5 linked regions of the Macaca mulatta genome follow. The protein of the gene in region 3 purifies or fractionates together with the protein of the main gene of each other region. This does not show direct contact. Links are inferred from orthologs where the notes say so. Each region holds a gene or a part of one and is shown on either strand. Other genes may lie near its edges.

Region 1 (4,295 bases), on a different chromosome or scaffold from region 3:
TTAAATAAACTAAATACAGTAAGTTAACAAGAAATTTGTGAATTGTAAGTTCAATTCAGAAAAGAGTGCATAAAGAACAAGAGAACTCAGCTGGGCACAGTGGCTCATGCCTGTAATCCCAGCACTTTGGGATTCTGTGACGGGTGGATCACTTGAAGTCAGGAGTTTGAGACCAGCCTGGCCAACATGGCAAAACCCTGTCTCTACTAAAAATACAAAAACTAGCTGGGCATGGTGGCACACACCTGTAGTCCCAGCTACTCAGAAGGCTGAGGCAGAAGAATCACTTGAACCCGGGTGGCGGAGGTTGCAGTGAGCCAAGACTGTGCCACTGCACTCCAGCCTGGCTGGAGTGAGACTCCGTCTCAAAAAAAGGGGGGTGGGGTGGGGCGGGGCTTGGTGGCTCATGCCTGTAATCCCAGCACTTTGGAAGGCCACCATGGGCGAATCACGAAGTCAGGAGTTCAAGACCAGCCTGGCAGCCTGACCAACGTGGTGAAACCCTGTCTTTACTAAAAATACAAAAATTAGCTGGGCATGGTGGCTCACACCTGTAGTCCCAGCTACTCATGAGGCTGAGGCAGGAGAATCACTTGAACCCAGGAGGCGGAGGTTGCAGTGAGCCGAGATTGTGCCATTGCACTCCAGCCTGGGCTGGCGTGAGACTCCGTCTTAAAAGAAAAAAAAAAAAAAAAAAGGGCCGGGCAGGGTCATTCACGCCTCTAATCCCAGCACTTTGGAAGGCCAGGGCAGGCGAATCACGAGGTCAGGAGTCTCACTCTGTTGCCCAGGCTGGAGTACAGTCATGCGATCCTGGCTCATGACTGGCTAATTTTTGTATTTTTAGTAGGGACAGGGTCTTGCCATGTTGGCCAGGCTGGTCTTGAACCCCTGACCTCAGGCCATCTGCCCGCCTCCGCCTCCCAAAGTGCTAGAATTACAGGTGTGAGCCGCTGCGCCCGGCCTTCTTTGAGTTTAATGCAATATTTTAGCTACCATGCTCTTTTACAGATTTTTTGTGTGTGTGGAGATGGGGTCTTGCTATGTTGCCTAGGCTGGTCACACACTCCTGGGCTCCAGGAATTCTCCCACTTCGGCCTTCCAAAATGCTGGGATTGCAGATGTGAGCCTGCATGCGTGGCCCTAGCTACCATGCTTTATGGTAAAAGGAGTATTGGGAGCCTTTTTAAATGACAAAGAATGGGTATAAAAGTTGTAAATGGATACACAAGAATAAAGAAGTTTGCTGTGAAGGCCAGGCGCAGTGGCTCACACCTGTAATTCCAACACTTTGGGAGGCCGAAGCAGGCGGATCACCTGAGGTCAGGAGTTCGAGACCAGCCTGGCCAACATGTAGTGAAGTCCCGTCTCTACTAAAAAAAAACAAATACAAAAATTAGCTGGGCTTGGTGGCACATGCCTGCAGTTCCAGCTGCTTGGGAAGCTGAGGCAGGAGAATCACTTGAACCCAGAAGGCAGAGGTTGCGGTGAGCCGAGATTGTGCCACTGCACTCCAGCCTGTGCAACAAAGCAAGACTCCGTCTCTCAAAAAGAAGTTTCGCTGTAAGATTAATTGGGGCTGTTTTATGAGCTTTCTGACTGCACATATCAGAAAACTATTGTGTATCGAATGTGAGAATAGGCCTCACACTTATTGTAAGCAGCATATAATATTATCACCTGTCATGTCTCTGGTTTTCTTACCATCCAGATATTATCTAACCAATAAGAGTGCTCCCTAATTCCCTTTTTATTTCATTTATCATTTTAGCAGCGTCACCCTTTACACCAGAAAGCTGGCGGGCACTATGGGGAAAAAACAAAACAAGAAGAAAGTGGAGGAGGTGCTAGAAGAGGAGGAAGAGGAATATGTGGTGGAAAAAGTTCTCGACCGTCGAGTGGTAAAGGGCAAAGTGGAGTACCTCCTAAAATGGAAGGGGTTCTCAGAGTAAGTTTCACTGACACAAGTAAATGTAGCCACCAGGTGTTTATCAGGAGTCTAGAGATGTATGAGACCTCCAGTGCTGTGATGGAAACTGTGTGACTCAGTCCCCACCTTCATGGCTTATTGTTTAATTAGGAACATGGCCTACTGCTTGTTATACAGAGCAGAATGACTTCTTTTTTAAAGTTCTTTCTTTTGAGACAAGGTCTCGCTCTGTCACCCAGGCTGGAGTACAGTGGTGCAGTCATAGCTCGCTGCAGCCTCAACCTCCCAGGCTCAAGGTATCCTCCCACCTCAGCCTTCTAAGTAGCTAGTACCACAGGCATGCACCACCATGTCTCACTTAGTTGCCCAGGTTTGTCTAACTCCTGGCCTCAAGCAGTCCTCCCACCTGGGCCTCCCAAAGTGTTGGGACTACAGGCGTGAGCCACTGTACCCAGCCCATAGTGATTTCTGAGAAATATTGTGTGTGGCTATAGACCGATTTAAATTGACAAATAAAAGTCATTTGCCTTTGAAGGAAGCCAGTTTCTTAGCTTTCTATTTATACTAGAAAGCCTCCCCATTCCCCAAGAAATTTCAGCTTTTCCATGGACGTCTGAGCTCTTGTCCTCTTACGATTATCCTTAGTATGATTATACTTATTTTGAGTGAAAGTGTGACTTGCTGTGCCCTCTGGTTTCAGTGAGGACAACACATGGGAGCCAGAAGAAAACCTGGATTGCCCCGACCTCATTGCTGAGTTTCTGCAGTCACAGAAAACAGCACATGAGACAGATAAATCAGAGGGAGGCAAGCGCAAAGCTGATTCTGATTCTGAAGATAAGGGAGAGGAGAGCAAACCAAAGAAGAAGAAAGAAGAGGTAAGGATAGAAGTAAGAATTTTTACTGGCCCACAATTCAAACCACTGTCAAAGTAGTTTTGTTTTGCTTCTTCCCAGATATTAGCAGCCATCTCTTCTTAGTTCTGACATCTTAGGTAGGCTAATGCCTACAAAGTGAGAGTGTACTCTCATGAAGCCACATGATCTCTTACTTTTTTGTTTGTTTGTTTGTTTGAGACGGAGTCTCGCTCTGTCGCCCAGGCTGGAGTGCAGTGGCCGGATCTCAGCTCACTGCAAGCTCCACCTCCTGGGTTTACGCCATTCTCCTGCCTCAGCCTCCCGAGTAGCTGGGACTACAGGCGCCCGCCACCTCGCCCAGCTAGTTTTTTTGTACTTTTTAGTAGAGACGGGGTTTCACCGTGTTCGCCAGGATGGTCTCGATCTCCTGACCTCATGATCCGCCCGTCTCGGCCTCCCAAAGTGCTGGGATTACAGGCTTGAGCCACTGCGCCCAGCCAGTCTCTTACTTTTTATCCATGGTACAGGAGCAGTAAATGGGATACTTGCTGGGGACAGATAAAAGGGCAAGTGAATTCATTCTTGTAAAAAACGGTTTTCAATGTTTAATCATTAAAGGTGTGAGGTAGCTATTTTGACTTAATCAGTACGTACCTTAAAGTAAGTTGTTTTTTGAGAGTGAAGAGATAGGTGTAAACATTGATTTTGCTTGGGCTGTATGTCCCTTTTCACATATGGGAAAATCTCATGCGCTTCAGACATTGATGAATAATCACTCCAAAGAATTCTAACAGCTCTCTTACTTTGAGCCAAGGTATTGGTGAAATATTGGCAAAAAAGTTTGTGTTTGGGCCGGGCACAGTGGCTCACACCTATAATCCCAGCCCCTTGGGAGGCTGAGGCGGGCGAATCACAAGGTCAGGAGATTAAGACCATCCTGACTAAATGGTGAATCCCCGTCTCTACTAAAAATACAAAAAATTAGCCAGGTGTGGTGGCATGCGCCTGTGGTCCCAGCTCCTCAGGAGGCTGAGGCAGGAGAATTACTTGAACCCAGGAGGCAGAGGCTGCAGTGAGCTGAGATCGCACCACTGCACTCCATCCTGGGCAACAGAGATTCCGTCTCAAAAAAAAAAAGAGAAGAGTTTATGATTACATTAATCAGAGACACAGGAATAGTTCCAAGTCTAGATAATAGTCCCATATAGATAAAATTGTTCTACCAATCTTGTTTTTACAGTCAGAAAAGCCACGAGGCTTTGCTCGAGGTTTGGAGCCGGAGCGGATTATTGGAGCTACAGACTCCAGTGGAGAGCTCATGTTCCTGATGAAATGGTGAGTCGGCCAGTGGCTTTGTGTGGTTGTTTTTTTTCTTCTCCCATTGGTTTCATGCCAGAGGAAAAGAGCTGGACCTTCGAAATTCCAATCACCCAAGTGTGAAATTAAGATGGCATAGTCCTTCGATAGTGACCCTCGGCCTGACTGCCAACCTGGACTCATGAGTTACA
Region 2 (4,738 bases), on a different chromosome or scaffold from region 3:
CAAAGTCTGACCGCAGAAGCTTTTGTCATTTTAACTTTGAATAGGGCAATAGGAAACTTTATACCAGCCTTTTATGAAAAGCGGTCCAGTTTCCCACTACCCTAGATTTAACAAGTAGCTTTTAAAATCAAAGCAGAATATTCCTTTGTCGACAAAGCTCTAACCATAATGCTACTAACAACTTTCATAAGCATTCAGAGAGGACTGCACCAAGATATGCCAAGGAAATCTCGGCTATTTTACTGCTTTGTCCCAATTCTTACCACACAGTCCGTGAGCGTTCCCCATTGCTCAAAATGGCTCCTCAGGCTCTCATCGGTTGTTTCAAAGCTCAACCCTCCAATGAAGAGCTTCCTCAGCTGTTCGGGCTCTTTAGGAGACTGGAGTGGGGGAAGGGGGAAGTGTTAAATGGACTACAACACGAAACAATTTCCATCAAGGAAAAGAAAAACTAGACACCAACTGTGTACCTAGCACTTATTGTTTGTTCAGGTCGCAACAGGCCACGTGCTTCTCCCCACCAAGGGAGGCAGTATGCTGGGGGTTGGGAGTGCTGGGAAATCGCAAGCGCATGCGTCTCTAGTCGTCTTCCGACGCACGCGCAACAAAGGCTTGGGCGGGAGGGGTGCATCTCCATAATGGGACTAACCGCTCTTCAGAAATCTCGCTCACCAAGGCAAGGTTTAAAAAAAGACAAAGATCCTGTGTGCCTAAGAATTTTGCTACGAGTAGCGAGTCCCGCGTGATAACTCGTGGTTGGCGGAGAGCGGCCTCATGGCGATCAAGAGGACAAAATGGCGACTTGAACTTTGGGAGGGGTAGGCCTTGGCAGCGACCGAAGTTAACTGTAGAATCGGCTGGTGCAAGGAACGAAACCAAGCCGCATCTTACCGATTCAGAAAAGGGAGACGAAAAACATTCAAGTTGGAAAGCTCGCCTAACTCACCTCTGACTTAGACATGACGGCAGGGAGAAGAGAGACTTTAACGATGCTTCTTCGGCGGCGTCCACGGGCAGAAAGGAGCAAGCTGACGAACGTATCTGCCAGCCTACCTTCGGCCTCTCTTTTTTACCCCGCCTCCTCGCTTTCGGCATTGGTAGACTCCGCCCTAGAACAGCTCTGATTGGACATTTGAAATCGCTTCCCCTTGCTATTGGCCTGTGGTGCCACATTGCTGTGTAACGTCATTCCTTTGGGCGTTCTACGCGTCTCCACCCCTTGGAGTCAATTGGTTCTCGAGTAATATTACTGTTAACCAGTCTGATTGGCCAACCGACCAATCATTCATGTTTGAATCTACCTGGGGTGTTTAACGCCTTTTTCATCTTCCACGCGTAAATATTACAGTCAAGTCGCTTGGCAAAGCATGATTAACACTATGTATTAGACAAGCAGCCAGGAGGTCACAGTTTTTTTGCAAAGAACGCTTGTTGACCGCACGTGTAGCAAAATGGCGAATTTTGCGCAGGCGCATTAAGAAGTTCCACCTGCCTCTGGGAACACGTGAAATGGCGGGCAGGACTAGGCAGTGAACCTACGGCGCCTGCGTGTTGGCGGGAGTTGGTTCTAGCTTTGCGCATGCGCAGTGGGCGGAGAAAAAAGGTCCGGTCCCAGGATTGGTTGCGCAGGCGCAGGGAAGGATCCGTTTTGGCGGGCGGTTGGCGTTGCGCAGAAGGCGGCGGCGGTGGTGGCTAGTGGTGCGGCCTCACCAAACAGGAACAGGGCAGACGTTAGCGTGAGTGATCACTCTCAATCCCGGGTAAGTGGCAGACAGTCTTATCTACCCATAGTAGGTCTTGAACTGACTCCATTTGGGCCCGTTATTGTGTGAAATGAATGGACCGCGGGGTGGGGGATAGTCAAGGGGCAGCGGTGGATCGGGTCAACCAATAGAAGAACAGGGGGCGGGATGTTTTAATCCCTGTAGGTTCTTGGGAGCTGTGCAGCCGAAGACTTTGACTGGCTTGTGTATAGGCCAATTGGGTGTGCCTTGAGCTGCCGACTGATCGGCCCTTGGGCCATCGGAATGTGGGAGATGGGTTTTCCCCTTCTGAGCAGCGTCTCACTGAGCCAGTGAGCAGGAAGCGCGCGGTAGGTTGGGCTTCTCCAGGAGGCAGCGGTTTGACTCCAATGGGGAATGCGGGATCGGGCGGTTAAACGGATGGAACGAATCTGGAGCCAGTAGACGGACAGCCTAAGGAAAGCACTGGGACCAGTCGTCCAATCGGCTCTCCAAAAGAGAGAGGTCTTCGATTTGGGGTTGTGAGGAAGGGGAGTCGGTGCCTGTAATGGCGTGTGAGGATGAATGTTTTATCCACAATGACTTTTCTAATGTTCTAACGGAGCCTTTAGGCCTCAGTCCCATACACCTCCCTGAAGCCTAAGTTTCCTCGTGTATTCCTCGACTTGACCATGTTTCCCCCGCCTCCTCACCACTTGAGGTTTGGGGAACAGAGGAGGTTTTTGTTTGTTTTTTTATAATACTTTCAGAAGTCGCTTCTTTAGGAAGACTGTTAAAATGTTAGAACGAATAGGAGAAATCTCTATATCCTGATAGTGCATATTTCCACGAACAATATGTTTGTAGGTCCATAGAAAAGTTTTCCAAAGCTACACACCAAAGTGTGTCAGTCCTAGGGACACAGTAGGATCGAGGCAGGCTGGTTCTTTAATGTTTAAAACTTTGCAAGATTAATGATTTGTGATTAAAATTAAATAAAAAATGAAGTCAATTGTTTTGTGTTTCTAATCATAATCACATACTTACCACCCTTTTTCTGATTTATATAATCCATGTGCCCAGTGCTTTTATTTTAGTCTCTTTCTCCCGGGAACTTTCCCTCTCATACATTTCCTTTCTTTACACCATTAAAGATATCCTAAAACCCCTCATTTTGATGTTCATTTGAGGATATCTGACTTTGGATTAAAAAAGAAACGCTTAAAGAGGGTAATATTTAGGGTTCTGGGGACAGAAGACTCATCCATCACCTGGATTATTCCTTGCCTTTTAATTAGATTTCCTTCGAAGTGTGTTTTACATGCAGTCTATCTCCTTTTGGTAATGCCCCCTCTGCTTATTCCAGGATCTTTTGGAGAAATAAATAAATTTTGATAACATTGGCTGTATCAGAGTCTTACTGCTTTGTTCAATAATTCAGGATCAAGGGAAAATACTTAAATACTGAAAATCAACTACCTATGAAGTACACTTATGACTAGAGACCTTTCCGACTTTATACCAAAGACAAACGATTTTAATAGCAGTTTATGAACAGAGGAAAAATTTCCATGTTCTCTGGCACTAGCAAAAGGATAAAGTATTTATATATAGTTTATCCCTGGTTTTAAACCTATTTGTAGGTATGCTAGTAATGGGGTTGCTGAGCTTCTGAGAACTAAAGTGATACTGGTTAAGGGTATCTGTCCTGGATTTATTTAGGTTTGAAAGGAATACAGTCTTAACCTGCAGCAAGATTTCTCAGCATTAGCACTGTTGATATTTTGAGGCAGATAATAATTCTTTGTTAAGGGTATTCGGGGTGTCCTGTGCATAGTAAAATATTTAGCAAAATCCCTGGCTTCTACCCACTGTATGCCAGTAACATCGCACCTCTCGCCACATCCCCATTTGTGACAATCAGATTGTTAACAGACATTGCCAAATGTCCGGAGAGGTAGGGATCGGGGATAAAATCTCCCTCGGTTGAAAATCATTCTCCCAAAATTCTGGAGTATGCAGGGCACAGTTTCGTGTTCCTGTAGTCCCAGCTACTATGGAAGCTGAGGCAGGAGGCTTGAGCTCAGGTGGTCAAGGCTGCAGTGTGAAATGATTATGCCTGTGAATAGCCACTGCACTCGTCTGGGCAGCACAACAAGATCCCATTGCTAAAAAATAAAAATAAAATGCTAGAGTTTATTATTTTTTCAAAATCCATTATTTTACCAATTGGAAAATAGGTAAAAGTGAGAGAAGATGGTTGAAGTGTTTAGGGAGTGGCCTTTGGTAAATGGATCGCTAAATCCTGATGTTTATCTCCTTAGATACAGAATTGATCATTGTTCCATTTGATAAAAGGAAATTTTTATTAAAATTTTTACCACTTGATCTGGTGCCAGTGGCTTACGTCTGTAATCCCAGCACTTTGGGAGGCTGAGGTGGGCGGGTCACTTGAGGCCAGGAGTTTGAGACCAGCCTGGCCAACATGGTGAAACCCGTCTCTACTAAAAACACAAAAATTGGGCCGGGCGCAGTGGCTCATGTCTGTAATCCCAGCCCTTTGGGCGGCCGAGGTGGGTGGATCACTTGAGGTCAGGAGTTCAAGACCAGCCTGGCCAACATCGTGAAACCCGGTCTCTACTGAAAATACAAAAAAATTAAGTGGGCGTGGTGGCAGGTACCTCTAATTCCAGCTACTCGGGAGGCAGAGAGAATTGCTTGAACCCGGGAAGCGGAGGTTGCAGTGAGCAGAAATTGCACCACTGCACTCCAGCCTGGGTGACAGAGCGAGACTCCGTCTCAAAACAAAAAACAAAAACCCCTGCAAAAATTAGCCAGGCATATTGGTGGGCACCTGTAATCCCAGCTACTCAGGAACCTGAGATGGGAGAATCGCTTCAACCTGGAGGCAGAGGTTGTAGTGAGCCAAGATCGTGCCACTGCACCCCAGCCTGGGTGACAGAGTGAGACCTTGTCTCAGGAAAAAAGAAATATTTACCACTTTTTGCAACTTAAAC
Region 3 (4,295 bases):
CTTTAGCTGGCAATCCTTTGGTCCAGCAAGGTGGACAGCCACTCATCCTGACCCAGAATCCAGCCCCAGGTCTGGGCACAATGGTTACTCAACCGGTATTGAGGCCTGTTCAGGTCATGCAGAATGCCAATCATGTGACTAGTTCCCCTGTGGCCTCACAACCAATATTTATCACTACACAGGTGAGTAGGACTCTGAATTCCAAGGTTGCTAGAGGAGAGAAAGACTATGAACCTCTGAAAGCTCTGACTTAGGGTCTTTGGCATCATTAGAAGTGTTTAAGTCTTGTCTCTTGACCTGGCTTTCTCATTTACTGTTCTGCAATTTGATGTTGACTGTGGAAAGCCCAGCTTAGATAGCATGGCTGGGTAATATCTTCTTTAAACCCCTTAGAAGTTTATTAAGTGATTTGATTAAAATCTAGAGAGAAATTAGTGGGAAAGCTTGGATTAGGAAGCCTTAATGCTTGGCTCTTGCGGCTTTTCACCCTTTGCTTGGACTGCTCCTCTTCCCATGGGATGAGTTAGTTAACTTTTGGAGATGTATATATGTAATTGGTGGAGTTCATGGAGACCTTTGGGAGACAAGGAAGATGACTTATTTGATATATAATGTGTTGAATTGAAGTTGAAAGCCTAATTCTGAAAGCCTGATTCTAAAGGCAAATGCTTCTCTGCCTGTGGCTTCCTGAGTTGTAAATTCTTATGAATTTGCCAAAGGTTTGTGGCCTTTGAAGTAGACTTTGGGAACAATTTCTTAGGATTGTTGGTATGTTGAATCACTCCAGTGAACATTGCTCTTCCCCCCGCTCCCCCACCCCCGCTTCTCTTCATTTAGCACTTCAGGGAGCCAATGTGTTGATGAGGTTTTTTAAACCGATGCTCTCTTAAGTCAGGGAATAGGTTTTCATTTTTGCTCATGTGTACCAAAGCTTGTTCTCTAGTTTTGATATTTTGTTACTCAAAAGTTTGCCAGAATTTCCTAAACTTTTCCATCTCAGTCGTTTAAAAGCTATAATTCTAGAGAGAGAACCATTAAGTAAGAGTATGGGAATTTTTTTGGATATAGGTCATACTGCAATGTTTGTTAGTATTAGTTGGTCTCCATGTTAAAGATCATTTTGCTTTTTAATACAGGGATTTCCTGTAAGGAATGTCCGGCCTGTACAAAATGCAATGAATCAGGTTGGGATTGTGCTGAACGTACAGCAAGGCCAAACGGTTAGACCAATTACACTAGTTCCAGGTAAGGAAAAATGTCTATCCATTTGGAGTAAACCGGCATCCAGAAGATTTGTTTTTGTTGTTCTACATATCCTAAGTCATTTAGTAAGTATATTTAAAGAAAATATAAAAATCTTAATGATTTAAGCCCAATTTTTAAAAATCTGTTTGGCCAGGGTGGTGGTTTTATTTATTTCTGTTTAGCTTTTCACCACCCTTCATGAAGTAGTAAAACAGAGTTTATAGTCATTTTTCTGTAACTGGTATTTAGTCAGCTATTAAGTTTGTTATCCTGGAGAAATGTTATTAATGCAAACTCACAAATTCATTCCTTACACATCTCCTCATTTGCACGGTGGGATTATAAACTTTGTTTTAATTTTATAGCATGGATTTTAGATATAAACAAATGACCATTCCCTTTATGGATAAATACTGTCAATGACTAGATAGTTTTTTTGTGTTTTTTTTTAAGATTCTGCTAGATAGTTTTTTTGTTTTTTAAGATTCTGAGAAGGATAATTTTTTAAAATCTTAGAATTTTCCATTGCTCTATTTAGCATGTATAAGTTTACTACAATTCAGACCAAAAAAGAATATCTTAATTTAGCTATTTGTAAGGGTACCTCTGTAGCTTGTCTCCCTAAGGTTTTATTTTTTGTTCTCATAGCCCACAGGGGTTTTTAGCCCTCAGTTTGACCAGCTTACCCTGGTATTTCTTTATTTTTTTCAGTGGAATCGTCTACAGTTGAGCCAGTAGACATTCTCCTTTGGGACATCCTAGTAGAATGACATAGTCTGTCTTCTGAGTTGATAGGAAAGGACGGAAGACTCCTTTAGTACTCTGAGAAAGACTGATTTCTTTTTTCAGGACCAGGTTTGCCATTTGGCCTATACACACCCATATTGCCAGTACCGAGGTCGAGCTACTAATTGTATTCTTAGAATTAATAAAAAGGCAGTGTGGTAAGGTGTTTCAGGAGGAGTTGATGGGAGTCTTAACTAAATGTTTTTAGGCTACCCAGGCTAATTTATTTTGTCAATATAGACACCTTGTGCTTTCTTAGTCTTTAGAATCTATACTACTCTTGGAAACTTCTGATGATCATCCATCAGTTTGGGGAAATAATCTTTCCAGTAAAGGCAGGGAGAATGTTTTATAGGTGAGCTCACTGACCAAGATCTGGTACTTTATCTCTCTTTTAAAGCCCCAGGTACCCAGTTTGTTAAGCCGACAGTTGGAGTTCCACAAGTGTTCTCCCAGATGACCCCTGTGAGGCCAGGCTCCACAATGCCTGTGAGGCCCACCACCAACACCTTCACCACCGTCATCCCGGCCACTCTTACCATTCGAAGCACCGTCCCACAGTCCCAGTCCCAGCAGACCAAGTCCACTCCCAGCACTTCCACCACTCCCACTGCCACACAGCCAACCTCACTGGGGCAACTAGCTGTTCAGTCTCCTGGCCAGTCAAACCAGACCACGAATCCCAAGCTAGGTAAGGCTTGGGAAGAGGAGATGGCAGAGCTAGGATGGGATGGTGGGTGGAGAACAGATGATTATCACTTGGTCACCGTAGCTCCCTCCTTCCCCTCTCCACCTGCAGTGAGCATTGCCAGCTTTGTCACTGTGAAGCGACCTGGCGTTACAGGTGAAAATAGCAATGAAGTGGCCAAATTGGTGAATACCCTTAACACAATCCCTTCCCTGGGCCAGAGTGCTGGGCCAGTGGTGGTGTCCAACAACAGCTCTGCTCATGGCTCTCAAAGAACCAGCGGACCTGAGTCATCAATGAAAGGTACAATAACCTGAAAGACCCTGAGCAGCCAGTCATTCAAAAACATTAATAAAGTGTTCGTTGTATCAGAGCTCTATACTCAGAAATACAGAAATAAAATAAAATATAGCTGCTGTAGTTTGTTCTTACAGAAACTTTAGTAAGGAGAAAGTCACTTATAAAAAGTGTAACGAATCAGCTCTAAGAAATTCTATGTGTAATTGTGCTTTGGGGATTAATGAAATTGATCAAGAGATTGGTGAGATAATGAAAGATAACTTCATGGAAGAGATGGATTTCTAAACAAGGTTTTGAAGTTGGGATTTGGTAGAGAGATCTTCAGGTTGAGAATATGAGCATGAGGGTTTTCGATGGTCTAGAGCAGGGGTCGGCAAATGTTTTCTGTAAAGGGTCTAGTAGTAAATTTGGAGGCTTTGTGCACGATATGTAGCCTCTGTTGCAGCTGTTAGCTGTGCTGTTGTGTTGTGGAAGCAGCCACAGGTACATAAACGAATGAGCATGGCTGTGCTCCACTAAAAACTATTTATGGACTGAAATTTAAGTTTCATAAAATTTTCATGTGTCGAAAAATTTTATTCTTTTATTTCAACCTTTTAAAAATAAAAGCCGCAAGATGCAGTGGCTCACATCTAATCCCAGCATTATGGGAGGCCAAGGCGGGAGGATCACTTGAGCCTAGGAGTTTGAGACCAGCCTGGGCAACATGGTGAGATCCCTTCTCTACAAAAAAAAGAGAAAAATTAGCCAGGTGTGGTGGTGTATGTCTGCAGTCCTCGCTACTCAGGAGTCTGAGGTGAGAGGATGGCTTGAACCCAGAAGGTTGAGCCTGCAGTGAGCCGTGATCATGCCACTGCAACAGAATGAGACCCTGTCTCAAAAAAAGGTAAAAACCTTTAAAAAAAAGTTGTTGGGAAAACTAGATATCCGTGTCCAAAAAAATGAAGTTGAACCTTACCTTACTCTTAATACAAAAATTAACTCAAAATGGATCAAAGACCTAAATGAACTAAAACTATAAGACTCTTAGAAAACTCATAGGACAAAAAGCTTCATGATACTGGATTTGACAATGATTACTATTTCTTGGATATGACACCAAAAGCATAGGCAAGAAAAGAAAAAAATGGGTAAATTAAATTATATCAAAATTTAAAACTTTTGTGCATCAAAGGACATTATCAACGCAGTGAAAAGGGAAGCCACAGAATGGGAGAAAATATTTGCGAATTATGTATCTAATAAGGGGTTAACATCCAGAATATATAGAGAATTC
Region 4 (4,743 bases), on a different chromosome or scaffold from region 3:
TACAAAAAAAAAAATTGCTGGAGCTGCTCACAGAACTCAAGGAAATGCTTATTTAGATTTTCTGGTTTATTATTGCAAAGAAGAAAGATGAAGAGATGTGTAAGGCAAGGTATAAGGGAAGGGGCAGGGAGCTTCACGCCCTCCCTGGGGTGCCACCCTACAGGAACCCTCATGTGGTCAGCTATGTGGAAGCTCTCCAAACCCAGTCCTCTAGGGTTTTTACAGAGGCTTTAAGACAGCAGCATTGGCCGGGCGCGGTGGCTCAAGCCTGTAATCCCAGCACTTTGGGAGGCCGAGGCGGGAGGATCACAAGGTCAGGAGATCGAGACCACAGTGAAACCCCGTCTCTACTAAAAATACAAAAAATTAGCCGGGCGCGGTGGCGGGCGCCTGTAGTCCCAGCTACTCAGGAGGCTGAGGCAGGAGAATGGCGGGAACCCGGGAGGCGGAGCTTGCAGTGAGCCGAGATCGCGCCACTGCACTCCAGCCTGGGCAACAGCGTGAGACTCCGTCTCAAAAAAAGACAGCAGCATTAGGCATGGAATTCTCTGAAAATGTCTTAAGACCAACAATCAGGAAGGTGGGGAAGATTAGAGTCTTGCCCTGGGGCAGGAAATGGAGGGAAGGAGGAGGTCAGAGAGATTGTTTCTTGAGACCTGCCCCAGGCCTAAGGTACACAACATTATAACAAGAGAACACAAACAAAGGCTATAGGAGTTAGCAGCCAGGAACTGTGGATAAAAACCAACATATTTATATATATAATACCACAGGGAGGGTCCAAAGTGGCAGTTAGGGACAGCGAGTACTTGTGAGCAGTGACACACCAACCCATCTGAAAGTATTTTAATATTTAAACAATTGGTATGGCTGTACTAGTTTGTGACTATCAGCCTTAGTTCTGTATCCATTGGCAAGATAGTGTCTAGGTTTGCCAAGCTCTAGCTGTGTAGCACCAAGCGAAGAACTTAACTTCTCCAGCCTGTTTCCTTCTCTGTAAGAAAGGGGCTTCCAGGCCTTAACTCACGTACTCCCCATAACTAGGTTGGAATTACCTCCTTTGTACAGATGAGAAAACAGACACACAGGTGGTAAGTGAATAGCCCAAGGTCACCATCTGGTAAGTGGATGAACTAGGATTGGAAGCCACACCTTTCATAAAATGATTTCTCAGCTCAAAAGGTTTTTCTGAAGATTCAGTAGGCTCACTGATAGAAATTGCTGGTGTGTGGCGGGTATTCCATCCAGACCACGTGGCCATTACTACTCCCACCCCCACCCCTCTGTAAACTCCAGATATTCCCGACCTCTCACCTCTCCCTGTGCACACAAGGCCTTTTCCCGTCTGTGCGTCTTAGTACACCCACTGTTGCTGTCAAGAAAGTCCTCCTCCTCCTTCTTTTTTTTTTTGGAGATGGAGTCTCACTTTTTTGCCCAGGCTGGAGTACAGTAGCACGATCTCACTGCAACCTCCCCCCTGCCTCAGCCTCCCTAGTAGCTAGGATTACAGGCAGCCATCACCACGCCCTGCTTTTTTTTTTTTTTTTTTTTTTTTTGAGGTGGACTCTCACTCTGTCGCCCGGGCTGGAAGGCGGTGGCGCAAGCTCCGCCTCCTGGCTTCAGGCCATTCTGCTGCCTCAGCCTTCCGAGTAGCTGCGGCGGCTATTTTTTGTATTTTTAGTATAGACGGGGTTTCACCGTGTTAGCCAGGATGGTCTCAATCTCCTGACCTCATGATCCGCCCGCCTCGGCCTCCTAAAGTACTGGGATTACAGGCGTGAGCCACCGTGCCCAGCCTACTTATTTATATTTTTTAAGAGACAGGGTCTCGCTCAGTTGCCCAGGCTGGACTGCAGTAGGGTGGTCTGTAGGAAAGGGGCTTCCAGGTCTTAACTCATGTAATTCCCATAACCAGGTTGGAAGGTTAGCTCACTGTAACCTCAAACTCCTATGCTCATGGTACCCTACTCACCCATAGCAGAGGAGCTGGGACTACACGTGTGCGCCACCACGCCAGGCTTAATTTTTACTTTTTTTTTGTAGAGACGGGGGTCTCGCTATGTTGCCCAGGCTGGTCTTGAACTCCTGGTCTCAAGTGATCCTCCTGCCTCAGCCTCCCAAAGCGTTAGTATCACAGGCATAAGCCACTGCAACTGGCCTAAACAGTTATTTAATATAGCTATGTTCCATGTGATATTTGAAACATACTTTTCTAAAAGGTTGTATCTTTTGGATATAATTGTTTATCTGAAATTCAAATTTAACTAGACATTGTATATTTTATATGGCAACCATACACCTGGGGCAATCAAGACCGTCCCATGAAGTTACCAGAAGACAATGCCCATCAGCCTACACTTTTCCAAGCCCACATAACACAAGGCCCCTTCCTGAGTATTCCAGACGTCAGGTAGGGCCATCCCTTGGTTCACAAGCCCACTCCTACCACGCCTATGGCAGCCAAACTGAAAGGCAAACACAGTGCTGGAGACCCCACAATGCCCTGGGTCTGTAGCAGCCAATTCCCAAGATGCCCCGCGTGAACACAATAGGAACCCGTTCCAATGCTCGAGCAATGAGACGAGGGCAAAACCTTCCACTACGGGACAATAAGGGCCAGTTCCCACAATTCCTTGTGGCAGTTTTTCCCAGGATGCCTTGGGCCTATAGCGACCACCTTCCCGGACTCCCTGTGTGGAAGCGCTCCAAGCCTCCAAGACGGTCAGTGGCAGGTGTGGGATAAAAGGAACCGGTCTCGACGAGGATCTGGGACACTCTTTCCCAGGATGCACCAGGCCTACAACGACTAGCGGACCGACTCCCACAGCGCTTCAAGGCGGAGCGCTCGGTTCTCCCAGGATGCCCCAGGGCGGCACAGCCGCGTAGGGGGAGAAAAGGAAGCCCTCGGGTCACCATGGCCCCAGACCGCCGGCTCCCCGGCGACGGGAGTCGTCGTTCCCATCATGCAGCGGGGCCGTAGCGCCCGCTTCCCGGCATGCCCCGCGCACCCCTGCCCGGGACACTCACCGGCGCCGGCGGCCCCCGCTCCGGCTCTGCGGCGGCAGCTGCACGCCCAGCCTCTGCGCCTGCGTCGCAAGCAGGGTAGGAGAGCGCGCAGGGGGCGTGAAGAGCCTAGGGCGCTTGCGCGGTGAGACGGACTAGTCCTGTAGCTCTGTGTGAAGAGGGGCTATGAGCGTCGGGCCGTCGACGAGACCCGCGCGGGGGGCGCCGTGCTTTGCCCCTCGCTGCCTGGGTTTACTTGGTACAGTCCGCGGCCCGAAGGAACAACAAGCTGAAGGGTTCGCGCGTGCGTGTGGGGGGCAGGAACGCTACTTATAAAAATGAGATGCGCTGGGGGTGGAGGGCGCTAGTTCGGACTGGATCCTGGGCCCGAGGCCTGCTTATTTGCATAATCCTAGCGCGGGACAATGAAAGGCCTCCAGAACTGGAAGGAGTGATTTGCATATTCCCCGAGGAGGCCTTACTCCTGAGCGCAGTGATTAGCATATGGCGGGGCAACCTGAGCAAAGCGCATGCGCGCAGGGACTGCAGACTAACGCGAAGTGGGTAACCTTGCTTTCGTTGGGGATCAGTTTGCATCCTGAGAGGGGCACGAGGGTCAGGACCCCTCCCAGCCAGGATAAATGTTTATTGATCTCCTAGGTGTCAGACCCTATGCTGGCAGATTCTATGGTTTCTGCAGTGAACCATACTCCTGTACTCACGGCGCCCCAGTCGAGGAGATACACACCTAATTAGACAACTACTACCCAGAAGGTCAGACCTGGAGTGAGGAACACAGGGGACTATGGGAGCCTAAGAGGCGCCTGCCCCGGCCTATGGTTCTAGAAAGGCTTCCAGGAGGTGGTGATCCTTAAGCCAAGTACGAATAGGAGCCAGCTAGAATGGGAATGGATCTGGCAGAGTGAACAAGCGCCAAGGCCCAGAGGCCAAAAAAAAAAAAAAGCACATGGTTTGATTGAGGAAGCAAGAGCAGCATAGTATGCCTAGAACCGAACTGGAGAGGGGAAATGGTCTTATAGACCATGTTAGAGTTGATCTATGACTACATTCCAGTCTTCCTGGAAGTGTCACATTCCGGCTTAAACTCCCCAAAGGAATCCCATTAGGAAAAAAAGTCCAAAAATCTTTATCATGGCCTCAGGGCTATACAGCTGGTCTGGCCGTGCTTATCTTTCTGACCCCACCTACTTCCTCCTCCCTCCACTCCTGTCCAGCTCCACCTTATGCCAAACTCTCTTTGCCATCTCGGGCCTTTGCTCTTGCCGTTCCCTCCGCCTGAAAATGCTTTTCCCTCTGACCTTTGAATACCTGCTCTTGTGCTCACCATTCATATCTTGGTACAGATGTCAATTTGAGAGGCTTTTCCTGATCTCTCCATAATAGCGCTTACACATATGACTGGAGTTACGGATAAATTGGGATTGGCCATGAGTCCGTGGTGGTTGTAACTGGCATGAAGAGTACATGGGGCTGGGCGCGGTGGCTCATGCCCGTAATCCCAACACTTTGGGAGGCCGAGGCGGGTGGATCACCTGAGGTCAGGAGCTTGAGACCAGTCTGGGCAACATGGTGAAACCTGCCTCTATTAAAAGTACAAAAATTAGCCAGAGGTGATGGGGGGTTGCCTGTAATCCCTGCTACTTGGGAGGCTGAGGCATGAGGATCACTTGAACCCTGGAGGCAGAGTCGAGATTGAGCCACTGCACTCCAGCCTGGGCC
Region 5 (4,914 bases), on a different chromosome or scaffold from region 3:
GAGGGAGTGGAAAATTGGCCAGTGCAGTTGACGCATGAATAACAGAGGTTTGAACTTCAACCAAATGCCAATAAAAAAAGACAGCATTTACAGAATGTGAAACATTTATATGGAGGGCAGATTTTTCATATATGGGAATTCCACAAGGCTGACTGTAGGACCTGAGTATGTGTGGATTTTGGCATATGGGAGTGGTCCTGGAACCAATCCCGTGTTTACAGGGAGACAGCTGACTTAAAAAGCCGTCCTGCCTGAAGGCCAGGCAAGACAGGGAGTGTAAAGGAGAGGAAATAGTTTATACAAAAACCCAGATGCTGGAATAGTCAGGGAATTACATGTGGGCCAGTATTTTGAGAACGCAGTCTGGTCATGGGCCAGACTGTGAAGAGCTTTATATGCTGTATTCAAATCGTGTAGTGTAGGTGTCTTAGTTGCCTTGGAGGAAATGTGAACAGGCAGGTCACATTAGGCTTCTGTTTGGAAGACAGGTTTGGTAGCTGGAAGAAAGGGAGACTAGTGGCAGGAAGTTAAGATGTCAGAATTAAAGCAGTGACGGGGTAGGGGATAGAGAAGGGGTAGATGAATGTGCTGGAGCTAATGAGAAGCACAGTGTGCGCTGTTGTGTAGCTTGTGCACAGCCAGTTTATCACATTCTGTTCTTGTCAGCAGACTCATCTACACCATGATGCTTTATCTTTGAAATGCATGCGGGAAGAGAAGAGGGCAGAGCAATCACTGAAGGAGGTCCATGTGTTCTTCCTTGGGGTCAGGACACCGCCATCCTCCTCCCAGAGTCCTTTCTTTTTGTACCTCTTGGTCCTGTTTGTTGTGGTGTCCCTTCCTCCACTGCCTGTTAATTTGTCACTCTGCTGTGTAATATTGATAACTGACAAAAGTCAGCCATTGTTAGCATCAGTAGTCACACCAGCAGTCTTCTGAGTGCTTATCAGAGAAGTGAAGTTAGGTGGTTGGTTTGAGAAGGATATGATTACACACATGGGCATAATTCCATAGTGGATTACTAAAGAGAAAGTAGACAAAGATGGTGTCAGGAGTGGTATCTACTGTAGTCTTTGGTGTCATTTCATAAAAGTAAGTGTTCAGGCCTGTACAGTGGCTCACGCCTGTAATCCCAGCGCTTTGGGAGGCCGAGGCGGGTGGATCACGAGGTCAGGAGATTGAGACCATCCTGGCTAACACGGTGAAACCTCGTCTCTAATAAAGATACAAAAAAATTTGCTGGGTGTGGTGGCGGGCACAGTCCCATCTGCTCGGGAGGCTGAGGCAGGAGAATGGCGTGAACCCGGGAGGCGGAGCTTGCAGTGAGCCGAGATCATGCCACTGCACTCCAGCCTGGGCTGGACGGAGCGAGACTCTGTCTCAAAAAAAAAAAAAGTAAGTGTTCAGGCTTAGTGGATTGGACTCCTCTCACTGTTAGGGCAGGATGGTGAGCGAAATACACAGAATTCTATCACAGGGGACACACATGATCACAGATACAGTTTTGATCACTTTTTTTTTTTTTCCAGGTTCAACTTCTCGTCTTGTTGTTCTTCTTATACTATAGGCTGTTTGCTCTGGTTTAGTCAAAAAGCCATGTAGAATGCCTGCCTTTTGAAGACCAATTTTAAGGTGTCTAGTAATACAGCAGGTAAGTCTAGTAGGGAAAGCATGCTTAGGAGAATATTTTATGAGGAGAAAATTAAAAAAAAAATACTTGGAGTTCTTGAAGGAAATCTCTAAAAGTATACACGCCCTTATGGATATAACGTGTGATGTGCGCTAGATATACATAATTTGGGATATGAGAAGTGAATTCTGTAGCATTCTTTTTAGGTTTAAGTATGAGATTGGCCTGAAGAGCTGATGGTAGGCAGCGGGAAGAGGAGGGCTGGCTGGGAGGGATGGGGAATGGTAGGTGAGTCTGACTCAAACCCAGCACACCTGAGCTCTTAGTCTCTGTTGTAATTACAGTATGTAATATAGTGCTCTTTAATGTTAGCTTGGCTGTTCATTATTGCCAGTTATAGCTGCATGGGATTATTGAGACTTATTCTCCGGTTTCCCTTAAAGTCTTCTAGTTTTATTTAACAATGGGCTCTGAGACGGATGGTTAACCCATTATTTCTGCATGTATTCAATTACGTTTGTAAGTTAAAGATCATTTTTAGAGATTTTTCTTCAGTACTGAATTATTTATTTTTCTTTTGTTACAGTCCTAGTCCTAAAAACAATATTCTAAAATACAGAATAACTGCTGGCAACGCAGAAAGAGTAAATAGTTTCCAAAGAAAAGTATTTATTTCCTCAAATACCTGTTACCTTTTTAGCTTTAGACCAAAAAATAAAAAAGGCAAATGATATACCATGGATAAAAGTGTTAGGAAACAGTATTGTCGTTGAGAACATCTTTAAAAACAAGTTATCAAAGTTAGAAATATTATACTTTTTTTTTTTTTTTGAGACGCAGTCTCGCTCTGTCACCAGGCGGGAGTGCAGTGGCACAATCTCAGTTCACTGCAACCTCCAACTCCCTGGTTCAAGCGATTCTCCTGCCTCAGCCTCCCAAGTAGCTGGGACTACAGGCACACACCACCATGCCTGGCTAATTTTTGTATTTTTAGTAGAGACTAAATACATGTTGGCCACGATGGTGTGTCCCACCTATGAGTGAGAACATGCGGTGTTTGGTTTTCTGTTCTTGCGATAGTTTGCTGAGAGTGATGGTTTCCAGCATCCATGTCCCTACAAAGGACACTAAACACCATGTTGGCCACGATGGTCTTGATCTCCTGACCTTGTAATCCACCCACCCGGCCTCCCAAGTGCTGAGATTACAGGCGTGAGTCACTGCGCCCGGCCTATACATTTTTTTTTTTTTTTTTGAGACGGAGTCTCGCTGTGTCTCCCAGGCTGGAGTGCAGTGGCGTGATCTCGGCTCACTGCAAGCTCCGCCTCCCGGGTTCACGCCATTCTCCCGCCTCAGCCTCCCAAGTAGCTGAGACTACAGGCGCCCGCCACCACGCCCGGCTAGTTTTTTGTATTTTTAGTAGAGACGGGGTTTCACCATGTTAGCCAGGATAGTCTCGATCTCCTGACCTCGTGATCCCCCCGCCTCGGCCTCCCAAAGTGCTGGGATTACAGGCTTGAGCCACCGCGCCCGGCCTACATTTTTTTAAATTAATGGTTTTGTAATTAATAAAGGGAGAGCCAGAGTTTCTAATCTGTACCATTCTTTAAGATGCAGTAAATATCATTACCATCAATAAGGGAAAAGTGTTCAGTCTTTCTCATTAAGAGAAGCACATTAACACAGTAGTGAAATACTGGCTTTCACCTAGGTTGTAGCAAGGATTAGGAATTTATATGAAATTGTCTTTCATATATACACTGTTGTTTTGCAGTAATGTAAGTTTTCGAGAGTTTGGTAAAATGTATCAATTTTAAACACAAATGGCTAAGTAATCCATTTCTAGGAATTTTCCCTGCAGAAATAACCTTACATGCAAAGATAAGTACAAGGAAAGTCAGTGCTTACTCCATATGTAAAAATGTCTTAAAGAGATGAATTCTAAATGAGAGTAAGTTGCCAGATAATATGTTTAATATCCCATTTGTGTAAAGCATGTGTGTTAATCAATATATGCCTAGGACATTTCTTCCAGGACACATGAGTACACTGGCTACCCCTGCAGACTGACACTCCGTATCTTGTACTGTGTGAATGTGTTTTGTTTTTTTTTTATATTTTAAGTTCTAGGGTACGTGTGCACAACGTGCAGGTTTGTTACATATATATACATGTGCCATGTTGGTGTGCTGCACCCATTAACTCGTCATTTACATTAGGTATATCTCCTAATGCTATCCCTCCCCCTTCTCCCCTCCTCCCCCCCCACAATAGGCCCCGGTGTGTGATGTTCCCCTTCCTGTGTCCAAGTGATCTCATTGTTCAATTCCCACCTATGAGTGAGAACATGCGGTGTTTGGTTTTCTGTTCTTGCGATAGTTTGCTGAGAGTGATGGTTTCCAGCATCCATGTCCCTACAAAGGACACGAACTCATCCTTTTTTATGGCTGCATAGTATTCCATGGTGTATGTGTGCCACATTTTCTTAATCCAGTCTGTCACTGACGGACATTTGGGTTGATTCCAAGTCTTTGCTATTGTGAATAGTGCTGCAGTAAACATACGTGTGCATGTGTCTTTATAGCAGCATGATTTATAATCCTTTGGGCATATACCCAGTAATGGGATGGCTATGTCAAATGGTATTTCTAGTTCTAGATCCTTGAGGAATTGCCACACTGTTTTCCAGTGGTTGAACTAGTTTACAGTCCCATCAACAGTGTAAAAGTGTTCCTATTTCTCCACATCCTCTCCAGCACCTGTTGTTTCCTGACTTTTTAATGATTGCCATTCTAACTGGTGTGAGATGGTACCTCATTGTGGTTTGGATTTGCATTTCTCTGATGGCGAGTGAGGAGCATTTTTTCATGTGTCTGTTGGCTGTATGAATGTCTTCTTTTGAGAAGTGTCTTTTCATGTCCTTTGCCCACTTTTTGATGGGGTTGTTTGTTTTTTTCTTGTAAATTTGTTTGAGTTCTTTGTAGGTTCTGGATATTAGCCCTTTGTCAGATGAGTAGATTGCAAAAATTTTCTCCCATTCTGTAGGTTGCCTGTTCACTGTTATGGTAGTTTCTTTTGCTGTGCAGAAGCTCTTTAGTTTAATTAGATCCCATTTGTCAATTTTGGCTTTTGTTGCCGTTGCGTTTGGCATTTTAGACATGAAGTCCTTGCCCATGCCTATGTCCTGAATGGTATTACCTAGGTTTTCTTGTCGGGTTTTAATGGTTTTAGGTCTAACATTTAAGTCTCTAATCCATCTTGAATTAATTTTCGTATAAGGAGTA

The links.
Region 1: the proteins of POGZ (region 3) and CBX1 purify together in Homo sapiens (affinity purification with mass spectrometry; 7 studies listed by BioGRID and IntAct, with this or other methods). This does not show direct contact. The link is inferred for Macaca mulatta from reciprocal best matches to the Homo sapiens genes POGZ and CBX1.
Region 2: the proteins of POGZ (region 3) and CBX5 purify together in Homo sapiens (affinity purification with mass spectrometry; 5 studies listed by BioGRID and IntAct, with this or other methods). This does not show direct contact. The link is inferred for Macaca mulatta from reciprocal best matches to the Homo sapiens genes POGZ and CBX5.
Region 4: the proteins of POGZ (region 3) and ZNF428 purify together in Homo sapiens (affinity purification with mass spectrometry; 3 studies listed by BioGRID and IntAct, counting the BioPlex papers as one, with this or other methods). This does not show direct contact. The link is inferred for Macaca mulatta from reciprocal best matches to the Homo sapiens genes POGZ and ZNF428.
Region 5: the proteins of POGZ (region 3) and CHAMP1 purify together in Homo sapiens (affinity purification with mass spectrometry; 4 studies listed by BioGRID and IntAct, with this or other methods). This does not show direct contact. The link is inferred for Macaca mulatta from reciprocal best matches to the Homo sapiens genes POGZ and CHAMP1.

Annotation. Positions count from the first base shown.
Region 1 is NC_133421.1:61,945,112-61,949,406, forward strand, and holds part of CBX1 (chromobox protein homolog 1), read left to right. Parts: intron 1-1,771; coding exon 1,772-1,948; intron 1,949-2,630; coding exon 2,631-2,808; intron 2,809-4,027; coding exon 4,028-4,122; exon of another isoform or gene 4,123-4,295. UniProt on the Homo sapiens protein: Component of heterochromatin. Recognizes and binds histone H3 tails methylated at 'Lys-9', leading to epigenetic repression. Interaction with lamin B receptor (LBR) can contribute to the association of the heterochromatin with the inner nuclear membrane.
Region 2 is NC_133416.1:61,467,356-61,472,093, reverse strand, and holds the start of CBX5 (chromobox protein homolog 5), read left to right. Parts: upstream 1-1,634; 5' UTR 1,635-1,760; intron 1,761-4,738. UniProt on the Homo sapiens protein: Component of heterochromatin that recognizes and binds histone H3 tails methylated at 'Lys-9' (H3K9me), leading to epigenetic repression. In contrast, it is excluded from chromatin when 'Tyr-41' of histone H3 is phosphorylated (H3Y41ph).
Region 3 is NC_133406.1:115,652,264-115,656,558, forward strand, and holds part of POGZ (pogo transposable element with ZNF domain), read left to right. Parts: intron 1-6; coding exon 7-182; intron 183-1,136; coding exon 1,137-1,245; intron 1,246-2,431; coding exon 2,432-2,722; intron 2,723-2,803; coding exon 2,804-3,022; intron 3,023-4,295. UniProt on the Homo sapiens protein: Plays a role in mitotic cell cycle progression and is involved in kinetochore assembly and mitotic sister chromatid cohesion.
Region 4 is NC_133424.1:56,033,865-56,038,607, forward strand, and holds the start of ZNF428 (zinc finger protein 428), read right to left. Parts: upstream 3,210-4,743; 5' UTR 3,028-3,209; intron 1-3,027.
Region 5 is NC_133422.1:108,395,066-108,399,979, forward strand, and holds the start of CHAMP1 (chromosome alignment-maintaining phosphoprotein 1), read left to right. Parts: upstream 1-1,552; 5' UTR 1,553-1,651; intron 1,652-4,914. UniProt on the Homo sapiens protein: Required for proper alignment of chromosomes at metaphase and their accurate segregation during mitosis. Involved in the maintenance of spindle microtubules attachment to the kinetochore during sister chromatid biorientation.